2 linked regions of the Lonchura striata genome follow. The protein of the gene in region 2 interacts with the protein of the main gene of each other region in a biochemical or structural test. Links are inferred from orthologs where the notes say so. Each region holds a gene or a part of one and is shown on either strand. Other genes may lie near its edges. The genes, in order: RAP1A and RAPGEF2.

Region 1 (8,078 bases), on a different chromosome or scaffold from region 2:
CAAAAAATAACCCAACAACCCCCAAAATCAAGGCCAAAAAAGGCCAAACGCCACCCTCGGACTTGACCAAGTTTTAAAAATTGTGTCTCTCTTGAATCTGCTTCTGCAGAATTAAATACACGAAGTTATAAGAAGCGACTGATGTTCAACATGAATGTGGCTCATCAGAAATTAAAAGAAACTGATAAAATAGTAGGTCTCCCATAGTGCCCTAAAACCCAAGAGTTTTGATCAGCATCCACAGCCAGAGCCAGCTAAGCTGATTTTGGCAAGGTTGAAAGTAACACTGGATCAAGGATAATCCTGAACTTCAAACAGCTACACATAAAAAACACTTCAAATATAAAGCCTAAAGGTTTGAACTTATGTATGTTCAAAAGATACACTTTGTTTTCTCTAGGAAAGCAGATAACAGGTTCCTGTTGTCAGAGCATTAGGATTCCTCTTGAAGATGATTTTTTTAAGTCTGCAAAGCTGCACAGAAGCAATCTGTTCTCTAAACACTGAGCACGAGTTCAAAGTGCCACCGAGTGCGCTGTGCACGTGCAGGGTACGAGAAAAAGCACTGCAATATAAAGTACAAACAAGTGCTTGCTGTTGTTTATGCCCAGCACGATGATTCAATATACAATTACAACTTTAATGTTCAAGCACATCCACATGTTGCCCTCCTGCCATTTAATTACTTTTCAGTTTTTTTAAGAACAGTCCTCAGACTGGCCGAGCAGCCACGAAATGTATCACTAATAACCTATGTCCGTGTATTTGCAGCTCATGGCTTCACATATAAACTGTTCTGATGCCCTGTGTAAACACCAGTCTCCAAATAAAAGCATTAACCTGTGCTGGACTTGGGCAGTGCGAGTTAATTCAGCCCGTTTGGCAGGAGATCCTCTCAGAACCTTCAGCAAAGCTACTTACCCTAAAAACAGCCACGCCAGAGCCAGGACACGTGATGGCAGGCAGCGCTGGGCTCCGGGGAGCCCCAGGGTGACAGCCTGGGGTGACAGCTCCGGCCTGGCGGGCACTGGGGTGACAGCCCGGGGTGACAGCCCAGGTGGGACAGCCCGGCTGGGACAGCTCCGGGGTGACAGCCCAGGTGGGACAGCTCTGGCCTGGGACAGCTCCATCCCAGGCTGGCCCTAAGGCTCCCCAGCCCCGCAGCTCCCGGGCAGCCCCATCCCGTGCAGGAGCTGCCCTGAGCGGGGCAGCTCTGCTCCTGCGAGGCACGCCAACGCTGTGCATAAAAACAGATTATTTTTAGAAGCGGTGCGAGCGCAGCACTTCCTGCCGGCTCCACCTTGAAGAACGACAGACGCTCTGTCACCCTCCGTTCCAAACCCAGGATTTCACAACTTCTGCTACCTGCCACAACACAGAGAGGCAAGGGACAATCTGCCGAGAGCGGCAAGCGACAATTTCCCAGTTTGTGACTTGGCACTAAGCGCTTCTGTTGGAATATGTTGCCAGTCTTCACTCGCGTCAATAAATCGATGCCTTTTTTCCTGCCGCAGGGATGAACAGAACATTAAATGTTTTTATTTATGACACTGATTTTTTCCATAGCAACCGGATGTGAACATGGCATTCCCAGCGCAATGAAGTCACTATAGCAACGTGATAATGATGTCAGAATAATCAGACAGCATTTCATACTTGTGAAATATATCGCTTCTGTGAATTCAGAAAGTTGCGGAGACCACAAAAGCTCCATCTGGAACTTCCCTTTAACTTGCCTGGTTTTGGATAACTTCTCATTAAAGGCACAGAGCTTTGCTAATGCACCATTCTCTGTTTCTACAAGCTTCATCCATTACTTCCTGAGAGTCTCACAAATTCCCGCATTAAAACCCTTTCAGATCCGAGGATCCGCTACACCAGGGAGAATTACTGACACACCATTTCAGCATGAAAAAGGCAATGACACAAATCACAACAGTGAAACATTTCACAGCAGACAGGCACTGTCAACTGAACAGACGCTTTCCTCAAGTCTTCAAATAATCTGGTGTCTCTTTGCGTGGAGCAACACAACTACTCAGAGAGAATTACAACAGCAGCAGAAATTACAGAGTGCCGGTACAATACTCCGAAGGCAGACAGGCGTTTTCAAGTCAAACACTATTTTAAGATATATTATCTCCCCTGTTAAGCTACTGAAAGGAAAAAACGCAGTTTTCATCGTTTGCCCTTCCTGTTTGCAGCTCTTTCCAAGCTGTGCGCAAAGCAAGACCCAATTCCAGCTCTGTGTCAGGGGGAACTGGCTCACTGCATCCAAACCCCAACCTTCCCACCGAGGAGACTTCGCAGGAATCCCTGCACCAAACCCACATGCCCTGTACCTCAAATATCGCAAGCAAAGGCACCAATTAACGAGAAGTATCTAAACACCAAAGCTTCCCTACACAGAGCACAGTTTCTCTTTAAAGCGACTGAAGGAAGTGCAAGAACCCTTTTCAGAGCTGAGGTGGTCTGACACAACCAGTCCTTGGGAGTGGAGGATGAGGATGGGCTGGGAGGGTGAGGATGGGGATGGACAGGAGGGTGAGGATGGGGATGGACAGGAGGGTGAGGATGGGGATGGACAGGAGGGTGAGGATGGGGAGGATGAGGATGGGCCAGCCCGCTGCTCCACGTGGCTCACGGGGGGCTGCCCCTTGGCTTGTCCCAGCTGCCCAAACCTCCTGCCGCCCATCAGGCCGGTTCGTACAGGCTGTGCCCCGTCCTGCCGTGCCTGTGCCAGCCCACCCTCCGTGCCTCCGGCCTCGCTGTCCCTTCACTCCGGCGCTCCTCGGCCCCGCACGATCCCCGCGCCCCTTCCCAGCGCGGGGAGCAGCGGGGCACCGCACACACCTGACCCCGCCGCCACCGCGGCAATTGCGCTGATCCCGAGCCCGGCGGCACCGCGGGCAGCGCGCAGCCCGCCCGGGGCCGCACGCGATGGATGCGGGACGGACCGGCGGGGCCGGCCGGACGGACGGGGCCAAGCCGCCTCCCCGCGCTGCCGGCCGGGCCGCGGGAGGGAGCGGCCGGCGCGGCCCCGCCGCCGCCCGGCCCCGCCGGACCCCGCGCCGGCCGCTGCCCCGCTCCGCCCGCGCGGCCTCCAGGGCCCGCCGGGACGGCCGCGGCCGCCGCTCCGCCCGCCGCCGCCCGGCCCGGCCCGCCGCCGCCCCCGCTCACCGCCGCCCCCGGGCCGCCTCCCGCCGCCGCTCCGCCGCCGCTGCGGGCCGGGCTCGGGGCTCGGGCCGGGCCGGGCCGCTGCCGCTGCCGCTGCTGCTCTGCGCGGCGGCGGCGCCGCGTCCGCTCCGCCCTCCGCGGCCGCGGCCCGGGGAGGAGCCAGCGGGGCGGGCGGGGACGGCCGGAGTTCCGGGAGGGCCGGGGCAGGTGCGGGGCTCGGGCCGGGCCGGGGGTGCGCGGCCGGCGGGGCCGGTTCCGTCCCGGTTCTGTCCGGGTTCCGTCCCGGCTCTGTCCCGGGGGTGCGCGGCCGGCGGAGCCGGTTCCGTCCCGGTTCTGTCCCGGCTCCGTCCCGGTTCCGTCCCGGCTCCGTCCCGGTTCCGTCCGGGTTCCGTCCCGGCTCCGTCCCGGCTCCGTCCCGGTTCTGTCCCGGCTCCGTTCCGGCTCCGTCCCGGTTCCGTCCCGGTTCTGTCCCGGTTCTGTCCCGGCTCCGTTCCGGCTCCGTCCCGGTTCTGTCCCGGCTCCGTCCGGGTTCCATCCCGGCTCCGTCCCGGCTCCGTCCGGGTTCCATCCCGGCTCCGTCCCGGCTCCGTCCCGGTTCTGTCCCGGTTCCGTCCCGGTTCCGACCCGGGAGAGCACTTCAAAGTGTTTTGTTTATTTTTGTAGAAAACTATGAAAAGAAAGAGCTGTAACACGGAAGTGCACATGTAATTGACACGAAACAGATAAAACTGGGGAAGAGGGAACGGCACATACAGGTCCTGATGGTGTTTTTGTCACCGAGGTTTGTAGGTGACGGCAGCCGGACAGAGAGGATCAGGTCAGAAGTCCTGCACAGTCGCTGATCTGGGAGATGGCCTCATTAGCCCCAACTTCAACTATAATTCAGCTCCAAACTGCACACTCCAGAAAACCTAATGTCAACAGTCAATAAAGTTCAGGGGCTTTTTTTCTTGTTAAGAATGCATAAATACCCCAGAGGAGCTGTAGTAGCTTCCGTGGTTGCGATGCCCGCTCTCCACGAGGTGCAGAGGGATCTCTCGAGCTCCAAGCACTGTCACCTCCTCACGTAACCGGGGACAGGAGGAGCACTGCGGCTGTCCCTGGGGATGCTCCTGCAGAGGACGGTGCCAGCAGCAGCAGCAGCACACCCACGGGCCTCCCCACACTCCCCACCGCCGCTTGCAAAACTTCAGGGACACGAGCAGATTCCCTGAGGTCACACGCTACAGCAACAATATTTTAGCAGTCATGCTGCCTCTCATCCAGAACTCCAACAAAAATGCTAAATATTACTTGTGTGGCTGTACAGATGAGAAAACAAAGATTAAATGACTTATCCAAAATGCCCAGCAAGTGAGCAGCCAGGAGGCACACAGAGCTCAGCGTCCCCACTCACCCTCTGTAACTGAAAGTGCTCCAGTTCTCCTCTCACAGCTCTGTGCGTGCAGCAGAAATAAATACACAGCGCACAATTTTGCTTCCAGGTACAATTTGTGGCTGCTGATACCCATCTGTAAATCCCTGTTTTTATGGCTTAAGAGGTGTCTCCTTCCCTGGGGACCACCGTGCTGGGAGCCAGGTGAATCACGGCTGCATTGGAGTCGCTGGAGGCAGGGCGATGTCAGCAAAAGATTTCCACACTTTGCAGGATTTGGCAGCCTCAGCCCTGAGAGGCTCAGGCACAGTGGGACAGTCGGGGTGGCAAAAGCATCTGCCTTGAAGGATGCTCAGCACTCGTGGTTGAGCACCTCGTTTCTTCAGAGTACAAATGTTATCGTGAAATCTATGAACTTAGGAAGTTACTAGGTCAATGTTTAAAAACATTGCCTGTGTCTGGAAAACAGGCAGGGACAAAATCAGCAGTAACTTCTGTTTTAAAAGCTGTGTAAAAACACATTCCTATGGGCAGAAACGGCAAGGGATGCAATTCCTTTAAAAGACTCAGTGTACATTTGAGCATTCTGAAGGCTTCACCCCAAATTTCCTTTGAAATTAAAGCTTTAACAAGCTTTGCCCCAGATATCAAGACATTTGCAGCTCTTCCCACTGAACACCAACTGAAGAGTTTTATTGTATCTAAGAATCACACACTTATCTATTTCATGGCTTGTGGACCATCTTCCAAGTTTCAAAACAATAAGGGTCCAGGCACAGTGAGGGCCTGACTCAGCAAGACAGAGCTCCTTTTTGATGTGTGTTCTGGGAAGGTTGACTTCTTCCCCCGTTTTCTGCAGGTTTCAGTGGAGGCTGATAACATTTATTGCTGAGTCAGGCTTTGCAAGTACATGAAATTAGATCTGGATGAGTGTGAACCTGGCTATGAAATGATTAGAAGAGGAGAAGCAGGGCCAAGTTCAGTGAACTCAGAGGCACTTTTCCTAGTGACTCGTGCAGGGCAAACATCTGGATCCGTTTCTCCCAGTCCTGCCCTCGCTCGGGCAGATGCAGCCCCTGAGCCAGAGCTCTCCCTCCTGCCTGCTGCTCCGTAGCTCTCGCCCAGCAGTGGGCTGTGGTCAGCAAATCCCCTCTGGCAGCAGGCAGTGACATCCACGCCTGTGTCTCCTGGGTGCTTTCCCTACTTCTGGCAAGTCCATGACTGCAGGGACACCTGCCTGGAGGGCTGGAACCTGCACCAGCCCCAGCTCCACTGCACACCAGCTCAGCAGCAGCACAGGAGGTGAGCACAGAGAATCGATTCCCTGCACCCTGTCACATACAGGACACAGCCTGTAATGTCCTGGACGCAGCCCAAGAAATCCAGTGACCCGTCCCTGTGCAGTTTTATTGCAAAAGGTGTCATTTCTCACAGCCCATCTGTTTGTACAAAGCAGGAGTTGCCACAATAGCTTCTTTCCTGAACTCTAAATCCATTCATATTAAATTACACCAAGATTTCACTCCCCTTTTCCTGCTGTATGGCAGTGGTAAAAGACTGAAAGGAAAACACTTGTTTATCCCAGAACCTGCAACAGGATTGCAACTTTTCACCTGCTTTTGCAGCTGAGTTGCCGAGGTTGCACTGAGTCTTCTGCAGGCAAATTAATATGAAGCAGAATCCTTCGGGACTTCTTTTATTCCAAAACAATAATTGCCCAATTGGATAAATTATCACAAGTTCAGCTGATGTAAATATGTAGCTAAGGCCCATTTGCTGATTTAATGAAATTCAGAAACAATTTGTGATTGCATAATGACCTTGGATTCCTGGCTGATAGAATCAGAGGGCTGGAAGTAAATGAAAGTGGGTTTGACACCATGCAGGCTAATTACACGTTATCCTGTGCCCTGGCTGTCAGAAGTGAAGGTGCTGACTGCATCCTGCTCCTGTCTGAACTTAAGCTGCACAAGGAAGGAGCTGGTGCTCTCTAAACTTACAATAATCACTCTTTAAACTCTAGTCAGGGAAGAATCAAGAGAAAAACGCTCATTCCAAAGACCTCAACACAAGCCTTTGAAGTGCAAGCATAATATTTTCTTTCCAGATGAGATTGCAGTGTATAATTATGAATAATGACTAATGATGTAATTAGCAGTGAGCAGGCACATGGCTGCCAGCAGCTGCCCTGGCTGAGGGTCACCGAGCTCACAGCTCACCTCCCACGCTGTCCTTGCCGAGCAGAAGGGATCATTTAACTCAGCCCAGCTTCCCCAGCTCTGCAGGGCAGGAGAGCTCCGAGCCTGAGCTGTTCCCAGAGCAGACAGGACCAGATTCCCTGGAAGCCCCATCCCTGATCCCTGCTCCCACTGCAGGCTGGCTTTGTTCCAAGCCCACTGGCTGGCTGGGAAGCTACCAGGCAATTAGGCAGATTAGAGGGGAGCTGTGGGGTCTGGGAGGGGTGGCTGGTCCCAAGGCAGGGCTCTGCAGAGCTCCAGCAGGCTTCCAAAGGGAAAGCCTGCACTGGCTTTGCTCCTGGGCAGCAGTGCTGGGGCCATGCTCCTCCCCAGCCCATCCAGTGTCCCTAAATCCCTTGAAATCCCAGGCAAGGCTGGATCCCAGTGCAAACTCAGGTATTTTCCAGGTTTGAGCCCTAAGGATGTGAGCACCGGGACTGCAGAAAGGGTGAGGAGGCAGGAACAAGACCTCCCCTACCAAAACCACCAGCAAGCCTGGGCTTTCCTCCTTTGTGGCTCCGAAAGGGACATGGGATGCAGGGAGGCTTCTTTTGCAGCTTCCCAAACATTTCCCTTCCTTGTGAGCATGCCAGAAGGGCCTGGAGTCTGTCTGGTGTCTGCAGCTCTGCAGAGTCAGGAGAAAGGCAGAGGCTGATCGGGGTTTCTGGTTCAAGGGCTCTATAAATACCATCAGAGGCTGTGAAACTCACTGGGGAAGGAAGCACAAATCCCACTTCCCCTGCTCAGCTACGGCAGGGAGCTGCCAATTGCCATGGACAGGGATTCCCATGGTTCAGGGTGACAGCAGCACAACGGGCTGCTCGCTCTCTGCTTTCTGCAAGCAGGAATTTCCCTGTCCAAAGCTCTAGCAGCCTGGATTTCCTCCCAGAGGAGCCTGTGAAGGAAAGGACCCTCAGAGAGCTGAACCTGAGCAGAGCCAGCAGCCTGGGCACCTCTCCTGGCTTAGCTCCCAGGCGCTCCCAGGCACCTGCACAGAGCCCCCAGAGCACAGCCCAGGGCCTGGTTCTGCCCCCACTAACCCCATCCACAGCTGGCAGCACGGCTGGGGCAGAGCTGCTGCATTTGCACAAGAAAAACCCAAACCAGAGGAGCCTGGAACTCCCCAAGCCCTGCGGGGACAGGCCCAGCCTCAAGCAGGAGAAACTGGGACAGAGAGCTCAACGTGAGCAGCAACAAGTGTTATTCTTCCAGCTGACAAACTGTGCTCACTGCTCAGAGGCAGCTGCAAGCACACATTTTCTATTGCCCAACCTCTTCCTGTGCAGCCC
Region 2 (8,222 bases):
TAGTTTTATGTTTAAAAAAACCCCTCAAAATGCTGCTGCTACTGTTACTAGAAATAGCACTTTACTGTGCTTCTTTGTATCTCAGAATACCTAAGAAGTTTAAAAGTTGCTACTTTTGTGTCTCTTTTCACAGACGGGGAAGGTGGGGCAGATGTTGACCTGAGGTCTGGAGCACACCTTCCCAGCAGGGTACCAGGAGAGAAGACCTCCCATCTTCACTTTTACTCCTGAGGGATGAGGGGCAGACCTGTACCGTGGTCACAAGCACAGAGCAAGTTTGTGTAGATGTTCCAGACCTTCAGAAACACACACCTGACCTTCAAGAGCTGCTGCAGATTTGTTCAGTGCTCACACAGTGTGTAGCACAGTTCTGCTGTGCCTCCTGGGTGCTGCTGCAGTACAGCCACCTTTCCTTTTGTTTGGGCACCTTTATCAGTACAGCTGAAGGGAACACTGTGTGGACTGTGAATTCCTCTCCAAGATCATATAAATACTTGGACGGCACATGCTGTTTCTCTAGTATTAATCTAACTAGCTAGAGCTGGTTTGCATACATCTGCAGCTACAGCAGAAGTTTAATGATAAATACGCCCAAATGTAGCTATGCAAATAGTGGCAAATTCTGAATAAATGCATGAAATGCATTATAGTAGTCAAAAGTTCTTCTGTTTTTCCTTCAATAAAAAAAACAAAACAAAGGATGATTTTTCCTTTATGGCACAGGCCAGGTTCTCTTTTGTAATCTTCAGAATTTCATACATCTTATGAGTATAAAAGGATCATAAAACCTGTGGTAAACATTCAAGAATTATTTTACTATGGTCTGAATTAGCCTTCTACCTATCAGAGGTGCAGAGTGGTTGTTCCATATTGCGCCCATACATAAATGATTACTGGACAACAAATATCCACAATAACAGAGCATGTTATGTAAAAAATGAACAGACAAAACCACACAAACAAACAAGCAAACTCATATGCCCTTCATCATAATGCAGAAGGTACTAAAAACTGCAATTGCAAGTGGTAGTAATCCCAGCCATGTATAAATCCCAGAAGTGGGAATCATTCTTGGAAATGATGCCACCCTAAAGAGAGAGCATAGAGGCTAATCTTATTTAAAGGATAAGATACTCTCTCCTTGGTAGTGGCCTTACTTGTACCTAAAATAATTAATATTTTACTTAAAATCCAACAAAATTGGCTTCTGCCCAGTCCAGAGGGGATGGCTACTGTTCTCAAGGTCAACTCTGGAGGGGTTCACCAGGCCAATACCTCTGTTCCCCAATAACTGTCTACCTCCATGAATGGTTATGGAAGTATCTTTTTATGGTTGCCAAGAAGAAAGATATGGGAAGGAGTAGGGCAATTCTAAGGGCTGGAGTTTGACTGCATGAATCTGCTTCACCTGCTGTGCTATCTCCAGTTGATAGATGGAAACAAGTACTTACCCAAGAAATGGGAGAAAGGAGCATCCCTGGGCTTATAACCATACAGACTGTTGATAATGCTAAACTCCCTCAAAATGGCAGTGTTTTATTTCTTACCAGGGCAGACTGGTGCATCCCAAGCAAGCCAAGCATCTAACTGTGGGTGACTAACTACAGGTGTAATGAATTGAAAGTCATATGGCTAAGCTAAGTGCAAGCTTTTCAAAGTGTATTTTCTTTAAAATGAGGTTTAGCAAATGAACAAAATGTTCCCAGAACTGCTGAATTTGTTTTCTTAGCATTTTAGTAACTGTTTGACCTGACCATTTCAAATTACCACTTGAAAGAAATGGACATATTCAGGAGGGCAGATACCCTGTCTTTCTAAGGCAAAATACTTCTATAAAATAACATAGCTATTACTTCTAGCTATCCAAAAAAGATATTATGCTGAGCTGTCATATTTTGTGTTGCAGCGTTTTCATACTGTTGAAATAGCAACATTATATGAACTGCATGTGTATAGTTAACTCTTGGTTTCCTGGTGTAAGATGGGTAGGAAACCTGTGTAATGTATTACCATGACCAGAAAAACACTCCCCCTCAAAACAAACAAACAAACAAAAAAACCACCAACCAACCCAATCCATTGTAAATAAGGGTAAAGCTAGATAATATATCCTGAAGAGTAACCAATAAGCAAAATGAATGGCATGTCCTGGTATATATGTGTATTTAAAATCATACTGATTTTTTGTTGAAGATGAAAAACCGGAAGGCAGTAAGACTAAGAGAAAATGTAAGTTGCAAAAGCATTTGACACTGTAAATTATGTTTTGTTGAATACTTGCAGTGAAAAATGGGGGTTTCTGGAGATAATTGCATGTTTTCTCAAGTAATAACTGTCCTTACTCTGAATCTTGATGATTATTTACTGATTTATTGTTTATTTTTTTCTATTCAGAAGTAACTAGACTGATTTCAGCAAGAGAAAAAAAAATGGCATAAAGGACATGCTAGTATCCACCATGGAGGATATGAATAATCAGAAGTATTTGCTTTATACAAATATGTTGCTTACAGACACAAGAAAAGGTGTTAACACAACACATCCTTAAATATTATTGAGAAGTTGTTGAGTATATTTGTACATAGTTCTCTATGTACAGTTCTCTTCTTTCATTCATTCCCATTTCTAACAAGTCACGTAATGTGTTATAGGCCTTTGACACAGATCTATAACCATCGAGATTTGTGACACTGATCAGAATACAATGAGAGCCCTGAAATCCCATTCTCTGAAGAGGAATATCCCTATGAATCACAGGTATTGTGTTACCAGACAGCACAGCAAAAAATTAACCAGAGCAAAACACTCGACTTGATGCTGTTACAGCTAATAGGTCTGAAATGAAAGATAATTGCATATTAAAATAGAGTGGGTAGCTCTGTTTTGATGTAGAGATATAAAGATGTCAGGCAAGCTAGGCTGCAGCAGCAGGGAATGGGTGCCCTGAAGTGATTGAGGAGTGAAGCCCAAGAGAGCATTCCTCACATTCCTGTGGCACTCCTGCTATACATATGCCCCCCAAAAAAAGGGCATTCCAGCACTCCGGATTGGTAAACTGAGCTGCAGAAAAGCTGGCACTTTTCTATAGCTGCAGGCTTGATTAATTTGAAGGAATTATTATCATCACTGGATGATGAACACGAGGCATATTTAAACTGTTATTTTTTAGGGCACAGGACATGACATTTTCAATCTGTTACTAAAAAAAAAAAAAAAAAAAATTAAAATCCCCCATAAGGACTTCTAGTAAGCACCGATAAGCAAGATATAGAGAATGTGGAGCACTCCCTAGTATTTTCCAATGATCTGCCCAGAATAATTGGTATTACTGCAAAAATATTTTGCTGACACATATGAGTAGGATTAGCCCAAAGAGCTATCTTTGTTAATGAGCCGTATCTAGAAATTGAGTAGGTTTAGTAGATTCCTGTCTGAAGACACAGCATTTTTGAGAGCCACTTGTGTCTAAAAGCGTAACATTTTTTTCTCCTGGGACTAGCAGTGTATGTTTGGTAAGGAAAAGATGGTTATCTCTGGGAATTTTCACAAATACAAACATGAAATAAAGATGACACTACCTTACTTGGAATTGAAATGTGACTGCTAGTGACTGGGAATTAAAGAGATTTATTAGTGTTGACATTATTTACATTGTGTGATCCGTATCAGCGAAGGGTACACATCACTTGTGAAAGCAAATACATTAATAGTATTACCCCGCCGCTAATGGCACGCTAATAATACTTCCATGGTTGGCGTTTGTCAGGCTGCTGCTGAGACGGGCTCGGTGTCGCGGTAAACAAAGAAAATCAGCCATGTTGCGAGATCCTTTATTCTTTAAAAACTTAAGTTCACGTGAGAAGAATCCGCCGCTAGATAACCCCCAGAACAGTGATAAATTAACGATTTCACACCCCTCCCTTCCCCGTTTTTGCCCCACATAGCAATGACAGAGGGGACAGCCGGCTGATACGGATTACTTTTGAGAAGCGTGACAACAGGTGGCCTCCCCGAAGTCACTAGATTCGGCAGACCAAGTCTTTATCAAGTCTTTATTTTTTTTTTTTTTTTTTGGCGTCCAGGTTGCCCATCACCAGTATCCGTGCACAGGGAGCACCGCCGAAGCTGCGATGATGCGCGTCCCTCGGGACCATGGCGGCGGCCGCTCAGACTTCTTTTTTGTGGTTAAACCTGGCCAGGATGTGTTCCCAGGGGGAGGATGCTGAGGCACCGTAGCCGGAGGGGACCCTGCCGGCGGCGACCCCCGGCGACCCGCCCCCCCCCTCCTCCTCCGTCCCGCCTCGGCCCGCCCCCCGCCGCTCCGCCTCCCCGAGCCGGCAACTTCCCCGTCGCCGAGGCGGGCGCGGAGTCCCCCATCAGCCCGGATGGGAGGAGGAGGAAGAGGAGGGAGGAGGCGACGAGGACGGTGCCCGAGGGGATGCGGCGGAGCGGGCCGGCGGGAGGCGTAGAGCCGGCTCGGGAGGGAGCGCCGAGCCCTGGTCGCCGCCGCTGCCCCCGGCGGGGCTCGGCCGCCGCCGGCAGCTCCGGGCGGCGGCGCTGCTGAGCCCGCGGTGCCTGCGCGCCGCCGCTCCCCGCTCCTCGCCCGCTCCGGCCGCGCAGCGCCAGGCCGCGGCCGCCCTCCCCCAGCGCCTCCCGGGCGGCGGCGGGAGGCGGCAGGGGCGCGATGGCGTCCTACGTGGATAACAGCTTCCGCCAGGCGGTGATGAAGAACCCGGCGGAGCGCAGCCCCCAGGTAAGCGCGCCGTGCCCCGCGGCTCCCGCGGGCGGAGGGGCCGCCCCGCTGCCCCCGCCCGCCCCGCGCAGCCCCGGCCGGGGCGGTCGGAGCCCCACGGCCCCGCTTCGGGCGGCGCGGCCACGGCTGACCCCGCTCCCAGCCCCCGCCGAACTCCCCAGCGCCGAATTCCCGGTCGGCAGCTCCCGGGAAGGGAAGGCGCGCATTAACGCGACAACTTTCCTCCTACTCCCTAATTTTGGGGGAAGGAGAGGGAGAAACGCCAGCTGGGTTTGTTTTGAAGGTTGCTTCCGGTGAAAAGAAAATGAACTTAGAGTACAATTTTTCGGTGATGTGGTTTTCCTTTTTTCCTTTCTTCTCTCTCTCTCTCTCTCTCTCTTTTTTTTTTTTTTTCCCTCTGTGTGTCAGTGTGTGTGTTTTGTTATTGCCCCGGAGTACGGGTGGCTCAGGATTTGAATTCAATCCCTACTTTTACATAGCTGGCTGGAGCTGGCAGTGCTGTTTCATAATGTAGGGGCTGAGGTCAGTGGTATTCTTGGCAAGTCCTTGCTCTCCAAAGTAGGGTGAAATCCTTACACAATGGCACCAGGCAGGAATTTTTTAGATACCTGCGCCGCGATCCTGGAGCCCCCTTTATCAGAGGAGTGTGTGAGTCGAAGCTGTTTGTAAGCGTAGTTGCGCTTAGAGAGGCTGAGAAAGGTTAAGCTGGGGACTGGAGTGCGTACGGAAACATTTTGACTTAACATGACCTGAAAAACAACTAAACTGAATGAGTTCCTTCTGCTCCCGAACGGTTGCTGCAGTGGCTGTTGCTGCCAACTGTCTAAAGACTAATAAGCTTTACACTGATCCCCACATCAAGCTGCGGTTCAATAGCTAATGATACAAGGAGTTACTTTGCTTGGAGTTGTAATGCCATCTGTCCTATTTTCTAAAGGCTTGTCCTGCTCTCTGAGCAGTCCCTGTATTCGGGTTTTGGGGAAGAGATGCTGTTACTGATTGTTTTGGCAGGCGTCTGACTGGCTGGTGATGATTTCAAATTGGGGCAAAGAGGAAACCTTGACTTCTGCTCAGCACCCATAAGTCATTCCTCCTACTATAGATACGTCATTGTGGTAATGTTATTTTTATCCCTGTACTCATGGAATCTGTGTGAGAAAATAAAACTTCTCATGGAAAAACATACTGACTGCATAGGCATCGTATGTGGCATGCCTTTTTGGCAACTCTGTTTTTTTCTTCTTTTTTTAAAAAAAAAAAGAAAAGGAAGCTGCTTCTGGAACATGTTTTTGTGGTGCTAAACTTGTTTCTCTGTCCTTGTTTGACCTTTTCCAAATGTCTGTTTGCCTTGAGTGCTGGACCCAGCCCTTCAGCGTGTTGTGAAAGCTGAAGGAGGCTGAGTGCTCCCTCCTGGAGAAGACACTCTCTGCAAACTCGCAGCGAGGTCCCTTGAATTGGTAGAGGCATAGATTCCAGCTGGGGGGAGCCTAGCAGCAGTGTCCAGCCTCAGGACATGGTTATGGAAGCACGGTGGGGTGCTCAGGAGGAGAGATGCAGGCAGATGCTCAAAAACCACTAGGTCAGGCTGTGGGGCCACCAGGCTGGGCTTGGGGGATGATGCTTTCCCTGTGGTGTGAACTGTTAAACTTTCTCATGTCCTTGCCAGTTGGCCTTGCTGTCTAGAAGGGATAATAAGGAAACACAGAAAGGTAGAGAGTAAGAAATGACGCAGTGAAGAATCCAGCCTGAATGCAGGGATAAAGCCCAGTGAAGGGCACAGAGCAGAGAGCTAAATTGGGAACACCAGGGCTGCGTTAGTGCTGGAAAACTTCCCCAGTCAGCACGCTGGCAGCCTGCTGTGGCAATCACCACAGGAAAAGAAACCCACCCTTAAATCCATGAAACTGACACTGACCCAAAATAATCCACAAATAAGACCAAGTATGTGGGAAATCTAATGCATTGTTAGCGCTGGAAATACTTGAAACTGGTGGTGCCCTCCTGTTGCTGCTGGAGAGATTGGGCTTGCAGCAGAAAACCTGGTGTTTTTGTAAATGGCTCGTGTTGAATTATGTGTGTTAATTTTCTACTGATGGTTCTCTGTTAAGTAAGTTTGATTTTATTTTACAACTGTATTGCAATTTGAAAGAAATATGTTTATGCACTTCATCTTTCATCATTACATGAAAAGGAAAAAATATATAGAAATGTACAAAGACCTTGTTTTTCCTTCTTCCCTTCAAGTAACTTATTGTCTCTTTACTTGTCTTTTCCTGTCCTTGCTATGCTATCTCTAAAAGAGAGCTACTTAATTTTGGTTTTTGGAAAGTCATGAGGGTTTTTTAAAGTTGAGAGAGGGTTGGAAAGAGAAAATATATTTATCATATTCATGTCAGTGCAGGAAATAGCAAGGGAAGTATGTTAGTAGCATATTTGCTTCTTTCTTATGTTAGCAAACTCTTTGGGGCTCAGCTTCTCCCAAATAATGATGAGGTAAATATCTGTTTGACATTTCTATTCACCCTGGACTGTCAGGGTGCAAATTTGGCACCATGCCTTCACTGCAGGCTCAGAGGACAGGAGTGACAGAATGATAGCCAGTATGTACAACTTAGAGAAGTAGGTCTGATAAACATTGTTGGGGAAAGCAAACTTAACTTGGCATGAACATTTATAGTGCAAAAATCTCCTGGTAATTTTGGATTGAACTGATTTTTTTTTTCCTTGAGGTAAACAGTTTATTCTGCAACTGCTTTTGTAAATTTATAACTTTATATCTCTTTGGTATATCCTCCTTTACAGAGTGTTCCTGACTTTTGTGAATCACAACTCGGTATTCTGTTGGCTAAAGAAAATGAGAAATAAAAGAAAAGGATTTATACGTGGCCTGTACTTTAACATGCCTGTTGTGTAACTCTTCTCTTTAATTGATGTATTAAACTATTCATTTTCTCTTTGAAGACATGAACTAGGAAGTTAATTTAACTACTTTGGGGAATCTAGCTTTTAAATGTTCATAAATTACAAATGGTTTTATGCCCTTAAGCTGTGAGTAATAGTGATCTAGTTTTTTTCTCTCCTAACATCCTCTCATATGGACTGTTATAGCTTTGATTCTTTATAAAAATTCTTTTTGGCATCATAGGCCATTTTAGAAAGCATGCAGTTTTATATTGTTGTAGCTTGGCTTGAAAAAATAGGGCTGCTTTTGTTTTCAAACAAGAGAAACTGAGCCCTAATCTTTCTTTATCCTAACAACTCATTTGCATGGCATGGTATATGAATAGCTGGTTGCTTCAGAAACTCTGCATACTGTTCACTGTTTTCATGCCATGTGGTGACGTCTGTAGGAAGAAATTTTTTGAGTGTGTGCCTTATACATGTTAGATGCCCAAGGTTTGCTTCTGGGAACTGCCAGTGTGGTACACCAGGGCAGTTCAACACAGCAGTAATGGAGAGCAGCGATGCG

Evidence for each region.
Region 1: the proteins of RAPGEF2 (region 2) and RAP1A form a complex in vitro, tested with the Homo sapiens proteins (2 studies listed by BioGRID and IntAct, with this or other methods). The link is inferred for Lonchura striata from reciprocal best matches to the Homo sapiens genes RAPGEF2 and RAP1A.

Annotation. Positions count from the first base shown.
Region 1 is NC_134632.1:5,464,843-5,472,920, reverse strand, and holds the start of RAP1A (ras-related protein Rap-1A), read right to left. Parts: upstream 3,245-8,078; 5' UTR 3,181-3,244; intron 1-3,180. UniProt on the Homo sapiens protein: Counteracts the mitogenic function of Ras, at least partly because it can interact with Ras GAPs and RAF in a competitive manner. Together with ITGB1BP1, regulates KRIT1 localization to microtubules and membranes.
Region 2 is NC_134606.1:40,592,675-40,600,896, reverse strand, and holds the start of RAPGEF2 (rap guanine nucleotide exchange factor 2), read left to right. Parts: upstream 1-4,612; 5' UTR 4,613-4,684; coding exon 4,685-4,753; intron 4,754-8,222. UniProt on the Homo sapiens protein: Functions as a guanine nucleotide exchange factor (GEF), which activates Rap and Ras family of small GTPases by exchanging bound GDP for free GTP in a cAMP-dependent manner.